3 linked regions of the Drosophila melanogaster genome follow. The protein of the gene in region 1 interacts with the protein of each later gene in a pairwise test. Each region holds a gene or a part of one and is shown on either strand. Other genes may lie near its edges. The genes, in order: Rbp6, yuri and CG18754.

Region 1 (6,333 bases):
GCCAAGGCTACCGCCGGCGAGGCGAATGTACCGTTTATTACCGTGTCGGGATCCGAGTTCCTCGAGATGTTTGTGGGCGTGGGACCTTCTCGTGTCCGCGACATGTTCGCCATGGCCCGAAAGCATGCTCCCTGCATCCTCTTCATCGACGAAATCGATGCTGTGGGTCGCAAACGTGGTGGCAAGACCTTCGGTGGCCACTCGGAGCAAGAGAATACCCTTAACCAGCTTCTGGTGGAAATGGATGGCTTCAATACCACTACGAATGTGGTCGTACTGGCCGCCACTAATCGTGTTGATATTCTGGACAAGGCTCTCATGCGACCAGGTCGTTTCGATCGACAGATTTATGTACCAGCACCTGATATTAAGGGCAGGGCGAGCATCTTTAAGGTGCATCTGGGTAACCTGAAAACGTCGCTGGACAAGAACGAGCTGAGCAGAAAAATGGCTGCACTGACACCAGGCTTCACAGGCGCTGACATCGCGAATGTTTGCAACGAAGCTGCTTTGATTGCCGCCCGCGACTCCAAGGATTCGATCGTACTCAAGCACTTCGAGCAGGCCATTGAGCGTGTTATCGCTGGCATGGAGAAGAAGACCAATGTTCTGGCGCCGGAGGAAAAGCGAACGGTGGCACACCACGAGGCTGGCCATGCGGTGGCCGGTTGGTTCCTGGAGCACGCAGATCCCCTGCTGAAGGTCTCGATTATACCACGCGGCAAGGGTCTGGGCTACGCCCAGTATCTGCCCAAGGATCACTACTTGCTGTCCAAGGAGCAGTTGTTCGATCGCATGTGCATGACGCTCGGCGGACGTGTGGCCGAAGAGCTGTTCTTTAATCGCATTACCACTGGTGCTCAGGATGATCTAAAGAAGATCACCGATATTGCCTACTCCCAGGTGGTGCGTTTCGGCATGAACGAGAAGGTCGGGCAGGTCAGCTTCGATGTGGGCCAGGCCGGTGATCCCGTTTTCAGCAAACCATACTCGGAGGACACAGCGCAGCTGATCGACAACGAGGTGAGGTCGATTATCAAATGTGCCCACGAGGCCACCACTAGTCTGCTGACCAAGCACAAGGAGAATGTTCAAAAAGTGGCGGAAAGACTGCTCCAAAACGAAGTGCTCAGCCGTGATGATATGATTGAGCTGCTGGGCCCACGACCCTTCAAAGAGAAGTCAACCTACGAGGAGTTCGTCGAGGGTACCGGCTCCTTCGAGGAGGACACCACTCTGCCCGAAGGCCTCAAGAGCTGGAACAAGGAAAAGGAACGAACGGAGCCTCTGGACGCTGGCAGCACGCCATCATCGCCGCCCACCAAGCCCGTAACTGCCCAGAGCAGTTAGGCAACGATCTTCGCTCATGTGGATGGGGAGTTTTGGTGTGGTAGTTCGAGGGTGCCGACATCTGTTTGTTTTTGTTGTAATCCCTAAACGCGGACCGGAGAAAACCCCGACATGTGGCAGATCGAGAAGGCAGGGCTCAAGGAGTTCCTAGACCTTCTGGAGTTACAGTTCTCCACGACGCGTTCATTATTGTTTTTGCATAATTTTAAGATACCCACATGGATAACTTGTTCCCGTGTTGAGCAATTAAGTGCTAGCCTGTACTAAATTCCCCGTATGCGTAGTTTCAAAATGGCAATAAAGAATGGAAATGACCTGTCAGTGTGGAAAAGCGAAATTAAACGATGTTATCAAGGCGAAAAATAATCGAATCAGTGTTGTTACTGCCTTACGGTTTAAACCCGTTTTCGAAAACAGCAAAAGTTGCAAAATACATACAATGTATTGCTTCATTATGTATATTTCATACAATAAAATGTTATGATAACATTGGAATGCAAAATTTGTTCTTAACTTTGGGATAGCCAGCTTTATTCTTAAGTTGACTGATAGTGCCAGGTTAAAATTTTTTTCAGTGTGAGCTTTTAAAGCTGCACGCGGTTTAAGAGAGTGCCGCTCTCTTCGGTAAGCTTTCTCCGCAAACTTTCGCCGGCTACTCTTCCTCGCTGCGGCTTATCACTTATCAGCTGTGATGCTGAAGTACATGCGCCATGTGCAGCCGGTAAATAGTGCAACTGCCGCAGTCGGCGCCTCTGCCGGTGCAAAGCTCCGTAGGGGCAGCACCAGCGGCAACAACAACAGCAGCAACAGCAGCGAAGGCAGAGAGTGCAGCAGTGCAGTCGACGTCGCTGCCGCCGGTCGTTTTGGGGCCGTCAGTTGGGTTTTGGGGTCTCGCCGCTCAGTGTCGTCTTGTTGGTTGTCGCGTTCGTGTGCGCGCACTGAGAAAAGCGGAACGCCAGCGTTGCACTAACCGTTGCAGTTTCTATATTACTCTCGAGTCGCCCGATTTCAGAGCTGTTCGTACCGCTCGTGGGAGTGCGTGCGTTTTAACCAAAACAACTACCAAATCGCGTACAAGATACCAAACCAATATAACCGAGAGGCCCGAAAGGAAAACCCCTGCTGTGGAGGGCATTTTGCATTTTGTTTACCTCGATGGCTGTGTGGAGTGCAATTTGACGATTATATAATATAAAATACAAAATACAAAAAATAGGGAAAACGAGTAACAGTGCGCGGCATTCGATTTTAATTGCAATCAACTACAATAACCGCTGAAGTAGAGGAGTTAAAGCGCAAACCTCTCCCTCGCACCCCCGCCCTCCCTCTCACTCACACTCACTAACACATTGCGTTTGTGTTGATCTTTCCTGCAAAATGGCTGCCGGCCGGCAAAATAACGGCAACATCCATACTTGATCGATAGAAAGAGAGCGGCAGAGAATCCCTAGCGATTTCATGTTTGATTTATTGGATTTTATTTTTCCTGAGACTTTCCTTTAGGCTTCTTGTTTGATTTCTTAGAAAATTAAAATTATGTATTTATGACAAATGGTGACCATTAGGATGAACAGAACAAGGAGGAGAATTTAATGCTAATGTTTATTTATTTTGTCAAGAAAATTATATTTAAATTTGTTTTGCCATTTGCATTTATTCTGCTTTAAGATAGGAAGCAAAATATCTCTTATCAATTAGTGTAAAATCAATCAACAAACACGTGTATTACATAAAATTTAAATTTGATTAATATTTTCGTTCCTTTTATTAGAGATCTTCGTTGTGATCACTTTTATAAAATGGCTGACATCGGTAACGGTAACTTCGATTACTGATCAATCGAGCGCCCCCTGTCGGCGATTCTCTTAGCTCTGTTTTAGTTTATCGTTTATTTTGTTTTATTTTGTGCTGCCAATTGTCGCAATTGCAATTGTCGGGTCACGTGTTTGTTGCTGCCGCCAGTTAACTTCTGCTCTCGTTGTAACGGTGCATGTTCCCTGTGCGGGTGTGTGTGTGCTGATGTACGATTGTGTGTGTGCGTGTCTGTTCGTGAAAGCTTGCATGCTGCGCGTTATTATATTGTTGCTGGCGTTGTTGTAATTTTTGTTGAGGGAGTCACTGCATGCAATGTTCTTCTTGCCCTTTCGCACCTCCCTATCTATCTATCTCTGTCTTTTTCTATTATTTGTTGTTGCTTTTACTGCTGTTGTGGGTGTGGGAAAAATCAAGGCGCGTATTAAGCACAGAAAATGCAAAAAAGAACACACACAAAATATAGGAAAGCGAATAATTTCGGAGAGAAAGCAACGGAAAATAATTGCTTTAACAAGCAAAAGTTCAAAGCTATAAAATTTGGATGCCAGCATTTTTGAATTTCCGAAAAATTGTTCGGGAAACCAAGGTGTTTCTGGCGTAAAAAAAAGTGTCACTTAAAACCTTTTTAATGTTAAAAATCGTTCAGATTATTTAACAACGATGGGAATTTATGAAATTAGTAGAGAGCTTTTTACTAAATATTTGGAATTTTATAATTATTACACAAGCTCACAATAAGTAAACACGTATACTTATAATTTTTGAAAAACATTTGGATCTTTAACCTTTTATATTTAGTTTTCTTAATTTTTTATGAGACGCCTATTCTAAGAAAATTAATTTGATGGCTCATGCCATATGTGTAAAGTGAGTCAAATTTATTTCAAACAAAGATCTTTTACAGTCTTAGTACCGCATCCCAATTGTCACTCAGCCGTTACTTAACCGCCCCCCTTTTCCCACCCGTTCCTCACCTGGCTTTTCCACGGTTTTCCTCCCTCTCTCTCTCTATCGCTCCCACATCGGTTGCACTTTTTTGCATTTTACGATTGTTCGTTGCGAATCATTGCATTTTAGGGGGTGGGTGGGGGTGGTGCAGCAGCTGCGGATGGGTGGGAAAGCGAGGAGTGGCGAGGGGGAGCGAGTGAAGGGGAAAATTGCATTTTCAAAAGTTTCCCTGGGCAAAGTTTAAAATTGCAATTTAATTAATTTTCACCAAACACAACGAAACAGATCTTTTGCAGTAATATGTTGCCTTCAAATCAATTGGGAAACCAACAACCAAAGTTAACGCAACGTTTCTAAAACTTAAAGTCTAAACAACAAACGAAATAATAGTTACGAAATACACAATAATATTTAAACCAAACCAAAAGTGGCCTGCAAAACGAAGCAACCAAAACAACCAAAACAACCAAGAAATGTGATTCAATGTGTGCAATGTAACCAAATTATAATTAACAAGCTAAATAAAACGATAACTAGAGCAGGAGAAAAGCCGTGGAAAATCAGCGGGAAAGCCAACCAAAGCCAGGCCAAATGGAAAACAAGGAATCCGGCAGCCAATCGAACAGCCAACTAGCAGCCATCGTGGCCAATGATTAAGGGAACACTCTGTTAGCCAACTCGTAGTAGCAGCATCCCCCGTCCACACATAACACCCAGTAACACAGCCACTCAGCCGCACAGAACCACTCGACCTCCCCTCGCATCTCGATGCTCGCACAGAAGGCGTTGGAGCAACAATTATAGAATAGACAGCCAGACGACCACATCAGCTCAGCTCAGCCCCAACTGCAAACTCCAATCACCAGCTCCAGCTCCAACTCAATCTCAATCCCGAGCCAAAACCCCCAACATGGACATCAAGATTGAGCAGCAGCAGCAGCAACAGCAAGTGGAGCTGGGACCCTGTTCCCCCTCGGAGGTGCCCAATGATCCCGGGTAAGTGTGCTGCTCTTATATGTACATGTATACCCTAGCGAAAGGGTATCTCAGAAAGTAGAGAATATATTTTAATCAACTTGAGAAGAAAAAGATTTACTTCGATTTATTTATATTACTTTCGCTCTACAAGCACTAAAAATCACCATCCTTAAAAGGATGTGCGAAATTTATATTTCAGTTCTGTAAATCATAATTAAAATATATTTTCCTAAGACCCTAACTTAGATTTTTCGAGAAAAGGGCATTCAAACTTCGCATTGTCGAGTTGGACGAGAACTTTTTTATTTAGTTTGAGGTCATGGACGTGGCATTAATTGTTTAAGTTTTAAGTTTGTCATTATTGAAGCGCAGGGCGCCGGAAGCGAATGGAGCGTGTCCTGGGGAGCGGTGTCAAGGCAGTTATAGTTGTTGACAGAAAGTTTTCTATGTCAACTGGGTCCGGAACTGGCCGAAAGCGGCCAGAAATGGACGATGGCCCAGCTGGGGATCCAAGTCTGCGAAACTAATTAGAAAACAATTTGCCAAGGACATCAAAATTCAATTAAAGCCATTCGGCTTAGTGCTTTAGTGCAATGCAGTTGCTGCCCTCGACTCGCTTTCATCCTTCCGGCAACAGTTTATTATCAGTCCGATTCCCCAGCTTCCAGCTTCCCAGCCCCTCATTCAAAATTTATACTTGTGCCAAAATGGGTTAAGTTGTGATTGCGGTGTCATATGCAGTAGATTAATTGCGAGCTGCATTGCTGATAATTTGCATCGGTTTGCAGTAGTCTCCTTGGTGGTCGGGGGTGCAGTTTGGCTGTCAGAAAGTCGGACTAGCAAATGGATGATCCGGTAATTGGCAGCCAAGTGAACTGATTGAAGGTAGTGGTGGAGCGGACTTTTGACGCAGCCCATAAAGTGAACAATTTACTGAATAGGGAGCTCTCGTCGTTTTGTTCGAATTCGCATAGAATGTAATATTTTCAGTTGAATGGAAATCCAAAAAAAGATGTATGATGATTAGAAATTCACAAAAAGGTGAACTATTTCACAGAAAACTTTATTTTCAAATTGAATCTGGCAATTGGCTCCTATTCAATGAAAATTGATACTCTAAATTAAGTAATAATTTATCAGTCAGCCACTTAAGTTCAGCATGCAATATAAATCAAATTCATTTTCACAAAAATTAGTTTAATTCATTAAAATGAGAATAAGAAGCAAATAATTATAATATCA
Region 2 (9,387 bases), on another chromosome or scaffold:
GCTCTTATATGGATGCACTCTATCCTGGAAAATTACCTACTTTAGGCGGATCTGCATTTGCTGGCAATTTTCCGAAATGGTGCGCAACTCCTCCCGCAGAGATTCAGTTGTCTCGTTCATCCGCTGGATACTTTCGCGATGCCGGATGTCATCCAGCTGCAGATGGCTCTGCATTTTCCGAACAAGAGTGCGCATCTTTTCCATCTCCAACTGGGCACTCTTTTGTTGATCTTGAAGTGCCCGCTCTCGGCCCGAGGACACAGCCTCCTTCTCCTTCAAAGCGACCACCTCCTCTCGCAAGATTTTGCGCTGAAATTCATAATACCTCAGTTTTCTTTGTGCCCAAGGACGACAATAGTCGGATACGCCACCTCTGTTCTCAGCTCATCCTGCAGCTGCTCCACCTGATCCAGTCGCGTTTGCAGGCTCTGCGCTTTCCTCTTGGCGTCCTTGAGCTCCTGGCACTGATCCTCGAAGCTGGCCATCAGGCTTTCGTACTTCGTGCAGAGTTCCACGCTTTGATTTTCTTGGTTTTTCAGCAGGGAAGGGAGGTCTCGCAGTTGGCGGGATAGATCACCTGATAGTATACATATATATATATATATATATAGAAAGAGCTTTTAATTGAAAATTATAAGTTTTCTCTCACAATTCTTCTGTTTGAGGACATGCATCTCTTCTTTGAGCCGATTGTTCTCGCTGAAATCGGAGTAGCTATTGATCATGGACTGCAGCTGGCTAATCTGGTTATCTCGATCCTTTAGATTTTCCTGCAGTCCCTTGATTTGGCAGGAAAGTTGTCCGTTCTGGTGGGGAAAAAAGTGGGCGAGAAATCAGAGAAACGATTAGGAGCAATTTGGTAAATGTGTGCTTTAGTGGATCCAACTTGTATCTCCAGTTCACAGTTGATCCGTGACTGATCGACGAAATGGAGCTCGGGCTCTGGGCAGGATTGGCTGGCTAGTGAGCTCTGCTGCAGCTGCTGCTGCTGCTGCTCCACCTGTTCGGTCAGCTCCTCGAGATCCCTTTTGAACTCATCGATGATGCTGAGGTAATTATCCCGGGTGGCCTGCAGTAGATCCGACTCGGTCTGGCAGTGGAGCAGCGTGTGCTCCAACTGCTGGCGGTGGGGGCAATCGGTGGAGCTGTTGCCTGTGTTCTACAAATTCAAATTGAGTTGTGGCTCACTTGGTTGGTACCGCTATTCTCGAGGCTTACCATGGCCACTCGGAAATCGGTAACTAATTGCCTGCAAATCCGCGCACGAAATCACCTGTCAGTTGTCAATTGTCGATTGCAGATACGCGGATGTACATATCTATGTGTTTAAATCGTTTTCGGTGTCGAATGCCTAGAAATGGAGCCTTCGTGCCGCCGAGCTTGCAAATATATCTCGCAAATATGACCCCCAGACGAATTTTGGCTTCATTACCGTTTCATTTCATTTCAATAATATTGCTATTAAAAGTTTGTCACGAAAATAAAACCAATTCGAAACGTAGGAGGTGGCAAGGTTTCGGGTTTCCGGTTTCAAAGTTTCGCTTCTTTGGCACTTTGGCAACACACAAGTTTGTTGGGTGCTTGAAGGGGTGGGGGGTGAAGGATGGTTGAGTGGGGGGGGGGGGGGTGACTTCCCCTAGTTTTATAGATATTATTATTTGCGCGGCCCGACTGTTTGACACGATTTGAAAATAAAGTTAGTTGCAGCGGGTGGCAGCGAATAGTATTATATCGTCTGTCTATTTCTTGGATACGATAGATATATGGATATTTATGAATGATGAGTGGAGGGGAGTTGGGCGAGCGTGGCTCGGCGCACTTAAAACACTTTTAAAGGCATATTATATTGCAGTGGGTGGGGCGGGGGGTTAGTACTACGAAATTGATAGCTCAGGCTCGGGGAAATGTGAAAATCGATTGGGACGGGGGCAATGAATTCTTATGATTCCTTGTCTGTCATTAAACCCATTAGCGGAGCCCAACAATTCGCTTTTCCATCGGCTCCATTTGCACATTTACGGTTCGCAGCACCAACTTTCTTCACTGCACTTCGCGTCCCTCTTTGCGAAAGCACTCGAAAACAATTTGCACTTTTGGCCAACTTTCTCCTTTCTAATTGCCCGATTTTCCTTTCGTTTTTCGCGCCGAAAAGATAATCAAATCGACGGAGCGCGACTTAGGCGACTAATTACGCCTCGTAAATTGGCTGGCGAGGATTTGGCGCGTTATTCCTGGCGCTTCCTTGATTCGCTTCACGCGACTAAACGGCCAAATCCGCCGACGGATGACAGGATTCTGAAGCGAACTGCTCCCCTGCTGGGGCTTCCTGCCGAGTTGTGTTTGATTTTGCGCCCGACAGTTTCGCCAAAGAGATGATGGCGTGAGGGGTGACGACTTTGTTTATTGTTCACACCTCGGGAATTAGTCATATCTAAATAAACATTTATTTAGGTAATTACTAAATATTTGTATTTGCACTGAGCTCAATTTAAGTTGGTTCGGTATTATGAATTACTTAGTGCATACGATCGAGATCGATGTAAATGGTCGTGGTCCTTGCAGTCACGCGGATCACGAGCAGTCCTAGTCAGTGAAGTCCCAATCCCGGCGGCACTCATCAATATGCATATCACTGCTCGCCGGAATCGCGTGTCGATTGTGGGTAAATAAATAACACGAAACCTATTTCCGATTCGCCAGCTCCACTGGCTGGAGGGCAGAAGGTGCTCCCCCCTCAGGGGCAATTGCAGTTGAACATACAGCCGAGTTTCCACAATAAACACATTGGCGAACGATTTGTATTTGTCGTATGTAGACATTTGCCCGGCGGGATGAGTGAAGTGGATCTCTTTCTTTTGTGTCTGGGCCCAATATATATATATTCATATATATATATATATGGGTAAATAAATCGGGGACTCGAATGGCAACAGTAGTTCTTTTGTCAATCCAGCCAGGATTTACCGAGTATATACTGTACCGAGTATATATGTGAAGGCGAATGTCGTTTACCACATAAGAAGAAAGTTCTATGTGCTGAAACGTAAATCGGAAATGTATTTCAAGCTCATAATTTGGTTGGGATATGAAAGAAACTTTATTTAAAACTAGTTCATTTCATTAAAACTATTCATTTCAGCAATCTGTGATTCTAGTTTCTGTTTAACCATATATAGATAGATATAGATTTGAGTGGAGTTGAGTTTTCGTGGCGAACAATCGCGATGATAAATAACTTAAGAACGACAAACTTTAAGCTAAACTATACAAACTTCTTAACGTGGCTTAGATTAGACTAACTGTTTAGGAGGCCCAACAAGTGACATAGTTACTTGGAGGTCCTAAACGTTGTAGTTGTGTTTTTCGTTGGTATAGTTTTAGTTGTCGTTGGCTTGTTTGAAGGTTTAGGTGTTGGTTGTTGTTTGTTTGTTTTTGCCGTGGCTCCCGGGATTTTGGTGGTTTTGGTTGGCTTCCTTGTTTGGGAAGGTGTTTTCGTATCGCATTCCTGCATTTGATATGACAACCGGGGTTATTGGAATCGGCTATTGGTTATTTGCGATGCAATCAAAGCCGTCAGATACTCACAATTTCCACTTGATTTTGCTCCTGCTCGAATTTCCGTGCAAACATATCCGCAATGGTCGTACAAAATGGATTTTCTTTCGAGGATTCGTCGTAGATTTCGTTGTAGGAGAACTCCTTGGAACCCTGAAATGATGCACATATTTTTAATATGCATTTCCTGCAATCCTGCAGAATAGAGAAGAGTCTTAACTCACCAACGAGCAGATGAGTTCGGCGATCTCCCTTAGAACATCGCTATTTCTTTGAAGAACGCTGCTTTCCGATTCAATCCTCGCCTCCAGCTCTGAAATTTTGACTTTTTGCAAATAGGGAAATAGTTATAGCAAAAGTATCGAGAATCGGATATACCCACTTTTCGACTCGGTGTCCAGGCGCTGGTACTTTCCGTGCAGTTCTCGATTAAGTTGGCTAAGGTTGAGCAGGCGTCTACGTAGAGCTTCCAGCATCTGAGCATCCGCGTCCAGATCACAGGGCCCTGATTCGGGATCAACGGAGATTAGGCAGGATTGATCGAGGTCTGACTGAAGGATTGTCAGATGACTACGAATGCTCTCGAGTTTTTTCAGAGTGTCCTCACGCTCGGATACCTTTGATTAAGAAGGGTGTAATTAATGAGGATATGCTAAAGCTCAGAAATATGTAAGTCGAATCCCTCACCAGTTTTTCGATAAAGCAGGACACACGTTTTCGCCGAATCTCAATGGTCTGGAACTCCTGTTTGTTGTGCAGATCGAGAAGATCATTGAGCTCCGCGTTTAGCAGCCGCAGCATTTCGCTCTCCTGGGTGTCGTGGATCGAGAGATTCTCGAGCATATCGCTTGTAATCGCGTCCGCGGTCAGTGTATCGTTGGGCGATTCCTCCATTTTGGCCTGATCTCTGGACTCAATGCACCGGGTGATCTCGTGCAGCTGTTTTCACGGTATTTGGAATGTTAAAAAAAAGCTAGTTAGAAAGTTTCGATGTGCTTTTTGATTGAATACACTGAAAATTTTACCAAGAAATTCGGTATTTCACTAAAAAGATACTCGATTAGGTTTTCGATTGTACGCTTAAGCAGCCGATTAAGCGATAAGAAAAGTATTCCAATGAATCTATAATTAAACTGAGCTCAATAATGAGTAACGTCACCTGACGACGATGATGTTTTTGTTTTTTGTTTTTAAAACAACGAATTGAATAAATTCCTTCCATAAGCACACAATGCACATATGCAGATTTCTGGTTGAGTAATGCCACAATAGGATATCTCACCTGTTGATTGAGCTGTGCTATGCACTGATCCTTCAAAAGTAACTTCTGCCTGGCCGTGTGTACAACCTCGTCCAAGGCATTGATCTGTGACTTCAGTTCGCCGATCTCGTCATGCTTGGCGGCTATCTCGCCGACTAAGGACTTCATGCTCTCGGACATCTGCGAACAAAGTTAAACGCCAATCAAAGCCAAGCATTAAATATCGATGAACAAAATATCAAATTTTATTAAGAGCAGCACAAAATATACGTATTTAGTTAGCGAGACAATCATTTAGAGTTCTCGCGCTTGTGGGACGACTTCGGGTCCCACTTGACATTGGAATCACCGCCGCCTTTTCCCTTCAAGGATCTATGGCCTACCTTCTCGCTCTCGCATTCCGCGTGGGCGGGATCCTTTCCCACGCCCCGCAATTGATTAACGGTCAGTGTCTCTAGGGAAATGCCATTGAAATCAAAGTCGGTGCAGTGAGGAGAATGCTGCACGCGTTCTATGATCGCACAAATGTCCTCACGCAGCCTACGATTCTCCTCGAGGGTATGCTGTTGTCGCACTTGGACAGACTGACAGCAGGCAACGATCTTGCTGTACGCCTCCTTCTCCAAGTCCGACACGTTGCCCAGGATCACGCTGTTCACGTGGAGCAGGAAATCCACCCACTCCTGAAAAGTGACCAGACGCAACTGGCAAGTGTGCTAAAAGGGTATGAAAATGGGTCATATAAAATAATTTATCTCAAGGGGGATTTTGCTAGGAATTAGTTTCAATGGATACCATCCTTGATTTACAACGAATCTCACCATGTCATCACCCTCGTGCTCATCTAGGCAGTCAATCTCGTCCAGCCGCTTCAGAAATATGCTGTTCAGCTCAAAGCTCATATCGCCAGCATCGCCGTTGGTATCCCGCAGCTTCTGGATCAGACAGCGGTAATGTTCGGTGGACATCGCCTCGGTGCTGGCAGTGCACCGATCAGGAGATGAGGCTTTTAGCGTCGATTCTTGATGTGGATGCGAGGCACTCGTTCCGGTTGGCTGCACTTGCCGACACATTTGACTGGCAGATGATGGTGGTGGCGGTGGCGATGATGCAGGTCTCGACGGATTCAGACCCATGGACTTGGCGTCTAGGACGAAACCGGCTTGGCGACTGGCCATGATATCAATTCAAAATGTAATTACCACGTTCTTCTTACTAAGAGCTGATTTAGTCGGCCAGGGAATAGCTTGTGTAATTAGACATGAGTATGACTTTAAGGTTTCTACATCGAAACGTTCACTTCGAAAGCGGCAATCTCAAGGCACTGCTGATCGGAAAGATCGAATGCAGTTCTCCTCGCCTTCAACTGCACGCAAATCGCAAATCACAAATCACTCACGAAAGTACAAAAATCACAACAAAAAACACTTGTAAAGTTGTAAGCTTATTAAAAACAACACAAAAATGGGCGGAAAAAAAAATAAAAAATAGAGAAAATATATCTGATTCGAACCTTGGCGGCGACGTCAAGAGCAGCTCAGCGCGCTGCGTTCATATCTTTTGTTTGCAGTCTTCTGACGTAGCAATGTAGTTTTGTTTATTTATATTTTTCTTGTTTTTGAGCTACACACACGCGTATTAAGTATACGGTTTCAGCATGTTGTTGTTTTTATTTCTTGCCACGATCCAAATACCGCGCGTTTCGTCTGCGCTCCGTTCGCGATCGCCAACGAAACCGAACTGAGCGCTCCGCTCCACACACTCGCTCCCCACCACCACCGGCCAAGAGCGGCTCTCTAGAGAGTTGAAAAACTCGACGGACTCTCAGCGCTTATCAGTGCGTCGGGGAATCGAATTGGATCGCTGCGTGTGTTTACCCAAGAACTTAGCATTCTGAATTTCTGGCCGGGCTCACGATATACATATGTATGTATGTATCTTACACAATATGCGAAAGTCATCGCTGTTTGCCCAAGTTGCGGTTTCGGGGTTCTGCCAATTTCGTATAATTGTTAACTCATCCGGTGTATATTTGCCCATGGATAAGTTTGTTTGGTCGCATTGATAACTCCGATATGGTCGTTCAACGCGGTTACACAATAGCTGGAAAAAAGCTGCAAAAACCATGAATTTTAAAGATTAAGAACTAAAAAATTTCGAATGATTCAGAGAATGATTATGCCAATCCTTAAGTCTTATTGCCCATCCCAAATTTTACACGATTAGCACAATATGTTGGGCACCAATTGAAAACAGTAGATTTTTTGCAGATTTAAATTGTTACCAAGTTCGTTTTATTGTACAGGCGAATAAAAGCATTTCATTGAAAATATTTTAAAATCCTTTTAAAAGATAGACAACAACTGTGTTAACGCTCATTATACGTTTTATTTATATCGATTTCTCTTTTATGTAAGAACAAAATTTATTTACAGTGTTTAGATCGCGTTTGCTTGCTTCCGTTTTCGTGCTTTCGGTTCGGCGTTAAATTGTTTTTCAAAATCAATTCTATGTGTGTCCTACTTAACTCAAATCCATTACAGAAGTGTTGCCTACATATGCCTGGAATCGATTCCCACATATCAACTAATAGATAAAACAACTTTTTCGTACAGATTATCATAATCACTTCACGTTGCTTTGGGCGTACACAAAAAATGAAGATAGAGGAATATGAATAGTCATTGCAATCCTTACGTTCTGTTCACACGCATCTCAAAACGTGGGATGAATGTTTTTATTTGGATTGAAACAGACGACGTATAAATGTACATCAAACGCTCTCTAAAATTCATAATTCATTTATAAATTTATTACTTTAGCTATATTTATAGTTATTAATATTTTCTTGCTTATATTTCTGTTGTTGCTTCTTTACCTTTTTACTCAGCTGCTTACAATTAGGGGCTGCATTATGCATTATTTCTCTTATCTTGCTTTGCGTACGATTCTTGTGGGTGGATGTGGTGTGTGTGGTTGTGGCTCTGAATGGGGTGGTGGTGGAGCAGGTGTGTATGTGGTTGTTTGGGCTTACTGCTATACACTTGTTATGCGCAAAGAAATGACCATAAACAGTAATTAGAGAATATCAAGAAATATATTAGAGGGATAATAATTATGGTGGTGCCTTATCCAATAGCATTTTTAACTGTTGAATTTTGAATGTCAGGCTTACAAAATGGGTTGCGAAACGAAATTTTACGATTCGGGGCGCACTAATTGATATATTTATGTATTCGGGTTATTGGCTGGCGGTCATCTATAATCGTGGTCAGTATCCGCCATATCAATGCCGCTCGTATGCTCAGGCCATTCCGTCCGAGCTGCAGATTGTGTTTTTCAGTTAGTGTGCAAGCCCTGGCGATTTGAAGATGAGTGTGTTCCGGATCCTGCTTAAGACGCTCCTGCTACTTTTTGTGGGCCGCTTAGGCCAAGTAGTTGTACACTTTGCGATCTTCCGGCGATCGTTGCAGATACTCGCGCTCGATTAGGCCCTCAATGCGCTTTTTGATAAACACGGGCGAGGGCAAGAAACGCGACTTTAGCTGCGACGTCACATCTGATACTAGCAAGTTGTGCTAAGAAAATAAAAACAGGAATCATGGTTAAATCACAATCCAACCAGATAGCAAACGTATAATACTTACAGCCAGACGCTTGCGGGCCTTCATTATGCGCACAATAGCCGCTTCGATCTCGTGCTTACGATCCTCGTCGACCTTTCCGCGCGTTTCCTTACGCTCTGGCTCTGATTCTCCCTTGGCGGCTACCGTTTGTATCTTCACCCTAAAATAGTTTCGATATTATTACCAGGCGCCGTTCTTTCGCACTGAAAGTAATATCTAACCTGTGGAACTTGGAGTTGAAGGCGTCGTTTACGTAAAACTCATCCGTGGGCTCAATGTCCTTAGTTTTCGTTTTAGAATTGCGTACTAACAAACGCTGAGCGGGTTTGCCCATGGACAACGATTGTAGTGCTCGGACGAGCTCCCGTTCCGGTATATCGGTCTCCTGGTGTATGTCATCGTAGGTGAGCACGTCGCGGTTATTAAACAGCAGTAGCACACACATCTAATTTTGGATTATGAAATACATGTTAAATGTTTAGTTAAATATTTTTTTCAGATCAATGAAATAAAGCTGCTTCTGCTAAATAAAATTCGGAGGTGTACGAACTAAAAGATATTTTAGCTTACCTGGTACGTGGACACTTGCAATATGTGCTTGCGTGTGGTGGTGGGCACCCCACAGCCGCTTGAACTGGAGCTGGGTGCATCTTTATCCTTTTCACTTTCAACTGCCTTGCGGCCATAAAACACAGCGTTGATATAGGCGGTTCCTATTCGAAGGGGAAGGCATAAATACAGTAGTTGCTTAAAAAAGAAGATCATTTAAGTAGCTAACCCATTTGTGGCTGTAACGTCAATTGACGTCCTGAGTGCTTATTTAGATAGAAGTTCTTGAAAATGTCAAAGGCTTCACGCGGAGCGGCGGGTATATTGCAGTTCGGAGTTGCTGTCTGTTACGGAAATTGAAGATAAGTTAACCTATTCACATAATTATGGAACAAT
Region 3 (6,523 bases), on another chromosome or scaffold:
GGTGCTTAAGACTGGAGACCAGGAACCCAAATACAAGTTCGAGGAAAGCAACCCTTTCATCAGCGAGGACGAAGATATCCAAGTCGCCAGCGTGGGCTACCGCTACAAGAAGTGGGAGCTGGGAAGCGATATTGTAAGTGTTGCATAATCCAACTTTAAAGTTGGAATATTTTTCTATATTATGTTAAACTATTGTCTTATACTTTTAGGTCCTGGTAGCGCGTTGCGAGCACGATGGTGTCCTGCAGACGCCAAGCGGCGAGCCGCAGTTCATGACTATCAAGGCACTCAACGAGTGGGACTCGAAGTTGGCCAATGGCGTGGAATGGCGTCAAAAGTTGGACACGCAGCGCGGTGCTGTGCTCGCCAACGAGCTGAGGAACAACGCATGCAAGCTGGCCAAGTGGACTGTGCAGGCCGTCCTGGCCGGGTCCGATCAGCTAAAGCTCGGCTATGTGTCGCGTATCAATCCGAGAGATCACTCGCGTCACGTCATCCTCGGCACGCAGCAGTTCAAGCCGCATGAATTTGCCACTCAGATCAACCTGAGCATGGACAACGCCTGGGGAATCCTGAGATGCATCATCGATCTGGTGATGAAGCAGAAGGATGGCAAATACCTGATCATGAAGGACCCCAACAAGCCGATCATCCGTCTGTACGACATCCCAGACAATACTTTCGACTCCGATGACTCGGACGATGGCGAGGGCGATGACGAAGGTTTCCAGCAGGTCTACAACTACGCGCACAACAAGATTTAGACGCCACGCCCCCCTACTCCTGCATCCCTTCCAGTCTTGGGCTCTTTTGCCACAACCCGCTAAGAATAACCACAACTGATGTCCTCTAAAGGAAAAGGTCATGTTATAGGCCCTAGCTTAAGCATTTGTATTCGATTTAAATTCAGATATTTCCTAGTAAATCACAGAGGGCGAAACAATACATGAATTTTTATTGGTCCAGGTCTAATGCCGGGTACTTGTGATAAAAACTTTCGACTGAAACACCGAGGTCTTGTACGTAAATGACTGACTCATTTCCCGGACTCATATATAGTAAGCTGATTGTGCGTGTCGGGCATCTAGTTAAGATTTAGACATTGTTTAAACTCTGACGGTTAAAGATGGTCTTCCTACAAAGAGTGTACATATCCTTCCTGGTCCTGCATACTCAATTGCTGATGTACCTGGCTGAGTCTGGTAATATATGTTGCAAGTACTCCACATTGTATACGTTATAACATTCAAGAAAATGATTCATTTGGATATGGGTATTTCCTTGAATTTTAAAATATAAATAGCTTTGTTTCGTCCAATCATTATCTAAACATCCAATTAAAATGACTCACATAATATAATATTTATTAATATCCAATTCTTTACTGTATCAGAATATCCGCCTTGTAATCTGGATGAGAAATGCATTAGTCTAGCCCGCTGCACATCACTCTTGCCCTTTCTGAAGCCCCACAACATGACGCCAGCCGAGAAGGCGGTATTCGAGGACAGATATTGCGGCTATGGCCCCAAGGGGCAGGAATTATTGGACAGAGTTCTCATCTGCTGCCCAAATATGGGACACATTTTGCCAAATACCCAGATATGTGGACCAATCATGCCGGCTTATCGAATTTTCGGAGGAGAGGAGACGCAACCCAACGAGTTGCCTTGGATGGCCCTGATTCTATATGCGCATCGCAGCCGTTCGGTGTGGAATGAAAGACTCGTGTCCAGGTGCGCTGGATCCCTGATCACAAACCGCTATGTGCTGACCGCAGCCCATTGTCTGAGGATAACGGGATTGGATCTCAGGAGGGTGCGCCTTGGCGAGCATAACATTTTAAGCAATCCCGACTGCGTCACCCATATTAATGGTAGGGAACACTGCGCTCCAGAGCATCTGGAAATTGACGTCGATCTGAGTATCAAGCATAGGCACTACATGGTCTTCGAGGAAAGGCCCTACAACGACATCGCCCTGCTGCGATTGAAGTTTCCAGTACGGTTAGTTGCACTTGACCTGTCATATCTTTTACTACATATATATATATATATATACATTTCATATGTCTTTAGCTATACCGCTCAAATCAAACCCATCTGTGTTCAACTTGACTATATCTTCTCGAATCCGTCCTTCAGCAACCATAAGTTGCAAATAGCTGGCTGGGGACTCTCTCATAAGCAGGGCTATAGCAATGTGCTGCTACAGGCCTATGTCAATGGCAGGAACGCGGACGAGTGCTCATTGAGTGAACCATCCTTGGGATTGGACAAGGAGACCCACATATGCGCCGGCAACCTGGGAGGCAATGACACATGCAAGGGCGATTCCGGCGGTCCGCTGATGGCCATCATGGAACGTGGTGACGAGGAATTCGTATATCTAGCCGGAATCACATCCTACGGGTACAGTCAGTGCGGATACGGACCAGCAGCTTACACAAAGACATCCAAATTCGTTGAATGGATTCTATGGAACATGTACACTAATATATTCCAATGAAATAATCAAAATAGTAGAATTTGGTTAAGAAAAGAAATATTTATTGTCCGGCACTGAGCCCAAATTATCGCAAAAATAAATTAGGAAATTTCATTGAGTCATTGGGATTTATGAGTTTGTTGATCCATTTTATTCTGTATATTTAGTGTCAGATCGAGTTTGGATGTCTAGCATGTCGGACAGACGTAAAGTTTATATTTTGGTCCTTCTCCAGGCCATTTTCTTCAACCAATTGGCTGAGTGTGGTAAGCAAAAGCAATGATTTTTAAGTTTTCGTAAAAAACCGAAGATGTTATATCTTGCTCAATAATATCCTTGCAGAGGATGTGTGCTGTGAATAGGTCACGTTCGACCCCATGAATTATAAAAATTATCATATCCATCGATCCGTTTTATTATAAATCATATTCAAAAATAATAATAATAATAATATTTCCACATAGACTCGTACTGCTATACTTTATCGGGGCTTTCACTTATCTATTTTTGTAATTTATAGTTCGGTTATCAAGCTGCCAAAAGGATGAGAAATGCACCAGACTGGTTAGCTGCTCGCCGCTTATGAACATCCTTAGGCCCCGGGGCATGACCCAGGCGGAGAAAGATGTGTTTGCACACAGGCAGTGTGGCCTGGACCCCAATGGACACGAGTTGTTGCACATGGTTTATGTCTGCTGCCCAGAGTTGGGTGACGTCTTGCCCAACAAACAGACCTGTGGACAAACGACGCCCGTGTTCCGAGATCGGGGTGCCGAGAATGCAGAGCTTAATGAGTACCCTTGGATGGTATTGCTGTTATATGAGAATCGGCTATCCTTGATGTGGAATCAACGAACTGGTTGTGCGGGCTCACTGATCAACAGTCGCTGTTCACACATGAACACGAATATATTTAAAGACTTACAATTTTGGGCTCCGTTCATATCTTATGTAAATGAATCGAGAGCGATAAATTATATTTAGGATTTTGTTATCTAAGGCGACATGGGTGCATTGCTCAAAAACATGTAATTTAAGTGCACACTACATGAGTCAGTCACTTGAGATCTTTCCCCGCCTCCTAAAATAGTCCCTTAGTGGGAGACCACAGATAAGGTCCTCGCCGCTCAAGATAGGCAGATGTGCCCGAGCGTGGGACCTCGATAAGGCGGGGACTATTTACTTAGGCCTCTGCGTAGGCCATTTACTTTAAGATGCGATTCTCATGTCACCTATTTAAACCGAAGATATTTCCAAATAAAATTAGTTTCTTACAAAAACTCAACGAGTAAAGTCTTCTCATTTGGGATTTTACAGTCGCTATGTGCTGACCGCTGCCCACTGCGTGATCGGTGGTTACTTGACGCAGAATGACCTGGTTCTGAAGAGTGTGCGCCTGGGCGAGTCCACTACCGACTGCATCACCTCGGAAAGCAGGTGTCCACATTTGGATGTGGAGGTGGGGCAAACAACAGTACATCAGGGTTTCACTTCGAGTGGCGGAACTTACCGCAACGACATCGCCCTCCTCCGATTGCAATTCCCAGTGCGGTGAGTAGCAGTGATCTCCACCCTAATCTCCACATCTTATGGAAATTTCTTTACAAACCCGCTAGATACACGAAAAAGATCCAACCCATTTGTCTATTGGACGCCGAATTTCCCCTACAGGATTTGAATTTGCAAATCTCTGGCTGGGATCCGACTAAAAGCAGTCAAACGTTGATCACCAGCACGGTCAAGGAAAGGAATCCTGCTGATTGCTTGAATAGGTATCCCAGCTTTCGCTCCGCGTCCCAAGTATGCGCCGGTGGTCAACGGAAAGGGGACACCTGTGCGGGCATCTCCGGCAGTCCGGTAATGGGCATCATGGGAAGCGGCGTCGACGAGTTCGTCTTTTTGGCAGGCATTGCCTCATATGGACAACAATATTGCTACTCTGCTGGTATTCCAGGTGTTTACACAAAAATTGGCCACTTTTCGGAGTGGATCAAAGCGAATTTGGCTCCCTAATTTTAATAAAGAATTCATATTTGCAAAATTGGAATAGCATCTGTTCCATTAATCCACTACTATAAAGTAATAGACCTATAAAACCCCAAAAGATAAGAAAAAGCACTGAAGATTGTTTTTTAAAAAACGTGTTGTTCAAAAAACATAACGTGCCGAGAGAAGATTAAGCATAAATAAATTTCTAATAACTACACCGCTGGGTTTGCCCAGCTCAGCAGAACTACTATGTAAATATTAAGGCAGGGAAAGACCACCCTATTCACATAGCTTTTGCCTTTGTTGCAATCTAGATGGTATTGAGTCCGGAGATAACCTCTGCTAATCACGCCCAATGCATCGGGAGAGAATCGGTGACAGCGAAACTGCCGGACAGCTTGGTTAGTATCAGCTTGGAGCCCATAGCGACGAGATGGCTTCTACGGAACGGAATTTTCTGCTACTGTCACTGGTGGTCAGCGCATTATCCGGCTTGGTCCATCGATCAGGTGGGTAAGCTGTCCTTTGGGCAAACAATATCCACAGCAACTGGATGCAATGGTGCTTCTTTCAAAAGTATATAGTTCTATATATATAGTATAGTATAGTATATAGTTTGAATAAAGCTAGAAAAACTAAGCACTTGACCTTGTTGATTGTGAGAATAAAAACCATAACAACTAATAATCAAAGAGTTTTTGAAAACTTCAAATATATTAAATATCAACATATAGTTTCCCGGACTAAGAAATTTTATGAGAAATATTAGACATGAAGTCCATTAGTAGAATGGATTGCCTTTAATGGATTGGTTCAGAACCGGTTAGACTGCATCGTAAATCGCGCTCTTCTCTTCCAGACGCAGCGGAGATCAGCTTTGGCAGTTGTACGCCCCAGCAGAGCGATGAGCGCGGCCAGTGCGTTCACATCACCAGCTGCCCCTACCTGGCCAACCTGCTGATGGTGGAGCCAAAGACTCCCGCCCAGCGAATCCTTCTCTCCAAGAGCCAGTGTGGCCTGGACAACAGGGTTGAGGGCTTGGTGAATCGAATCCTGGTCTGCTGTCCGCAGAGCATGCGGGGCAATATCATGGACTCGGAACCAACTCCTTCGACGAGGGATGCACTGCAGCAGGGGGATGTGCTGCCTGGAAATGACGTCTGCGGCTTCCTTTTCGCTGATCGCATTTTCGGGGGCACCAATACGACCCTCTGGGAATTCCCATGGATGGTATTGCTGCAGTACAAAAAACGTGAGTAGATTACCTACCCAGGCTCTATTTTAATCTCTTATAGGAAGGTTGTTTCACGAGGTCACCTGTAATCATTTTTTAATCACTTTTTCAAATCAAATTCTCCAATGGGGGGATCATCATTATAAGAAAACGCATATTCAATATATACAAGGCTATTATTAGTATCTAATCAATTTATAATATGTACTTGGGAAACGCTCTTTATCCTTTCAGTTTTTTCTGAAACCTACACTTTCAACTGCGGCGGTGCATTGCTCAACTCGCGCTACGTCCTGACCGCTGGACACTGCCTGGCCAGCCGAGAACTGGACAAATCCGGTGCCGTTCTACACAGCGTTCGCCTGGGGGAGTGGGACACTCGTACCGATCCTGACTGCACCACCCAGATGAACGGACAGCGCATCTGTGCACCGAAACACATCGACATTGAGGTCGAGAAGGGCATCATCCACGAGATGTATGCTCCCAATTCCGTTGATCAGCGTAATGACATTGCGTTGGTGCGCCTTAAGAGGATTGTTAGGTATGTGGTCCAGAGATCCCTCAATTATTCCACTGACTTGCTTTTTTGTTTTTGCCACAGCTACACCGACTACGTGCGTCCAATATGCCTTCCCACGGATGGTTTAGTCCAAAACAACTTTGTGGACTACGGCATGGATGTGGCCGGCTGGGGACTTACCGAGAACATGCAGCCAAGTGCGATCAAGCTGAAGATCACCGTCAACGTTTGGAACCTAACGAGTTGTCAGGAAAAGTACTCCAGCTTCAAGGTGAAACTGGACGATTCTC

The links.
Region 2: the proteins of Rbp6 (region 1) and yuri interact in a two-hybrid assay, tested with the Drosophila melanogaster proteins (one large-scale study listed by BioGRID).
Region 3: the proteins of Rbp6 (region 1) and CG18754 interact in a two-hybrid assay, tested with the Drosophila melanogaster proteins (one large-scale study listed by BioGRID).

Annotation. Positions count from the first base shown.
Region 1 is NT_037436.4:17,234,128-17,240,460, reverse strand, and holds the start of Rbp6 (RNA-binding protein 6), read left to right. Parts: upstream 1-2,248; 5' UTR 2,249-2,629; intron 2,630-4,398; 5' UTR 4,399-5,023; coding exon 5,024-5,109; intron 5,110-6,333. Other genes in the region: Afg3l2 (AFG3 like matrix AAA peptidase subunit 2), read left to right, coding at 1-1,350. UniProt on the Drosophila melanogaster protein: RNA binding protein that regulates the expression of target mRNAs at the translation level. May play a role in the proliferation and maintenance of stem cells in the central nervous system.
Region 2 is NT_033779.5:15,258,133-15,267,519, forward strand, and holds the start of yuri (yuri gagarin), read right to left. Parts: upstream 6,096-9,387; 5' UTR 5,995-6,095; coding exon 5,638-5,994; intron 5,533-5,637; coding exon 5,200-5,532; coding exon of another isoform or gene 5,107-5,199; exon of another isoform or gene 5,035-5,106; intron 4,997-5,034; coding exon 4,838-4,996; intron 4,671-4,837; exon of another isoform or gene 4,495-4,670; coding exon 4,243-4,494; intron 4,173-4,242; coding exon 3,938-4,172; intron 3,881-3,937; coding exon 3,780-3,880; intron 3,709-3,779; coding exon 3,586-3,708; intron 3,506-3,585; coding exon of another isoform or gene 3,329-3,505; exon of another isoform or gene 3,077-3,328; intron 1,612-3,076; exon of another isoform or gene 1,222-1,611; coding exon of another isoform or gene 1,219-1,221; intron 1,160-1,218; coding exon of another isoform or gene 887-1,159; intron 807-886; coding exon 650-806; intron 578-649; coding exon 372-577; intron 310-371; coding exon 41-309; intron 1-40. Other genes in the region: Cul3 (cullin 3), read right to left, coding at 8,242-8,394, 8,464-8,602, 8,664-8,887, 9,013-9,155, 9,221-9,335.
Region 3 is NT_033777.3:23,681,377-23,687,899, forward strand, and holds CG18754 (uncharacterized protein), read left to right. Parts: upstream 1-2,680; coding exon 2,681-2,753; intron 2,754-2,971; exon of another isoform or gene 2,972-3,007; coding exon 3,008-3,329; intron 3,330-3,804; coding exon 3,805-4,038; intron 4,039-4,103; coding exon 4,104-4,500; 3' UTR 4,501-4,909; coding exon of another isoform or gene 4,910-4,985; 3' UTR 4,986-5,161; downstream 5,162-6,523. Other genes in the region: eIF3d1 (eukaryotic translation initiation factor 3 subunit d1), read left to right, coding at 1-133, 210-764; CG16710 (uncharacterized protein), read left to right, coding at 1,127-1,202, 1,394-2,006, 2,079-2,508; SPE (Spatzle-Processing enzyme), read left to right, coding at 4,910-4,985, 5,336-5,728, 5,945-6,254, 6,315-6,523.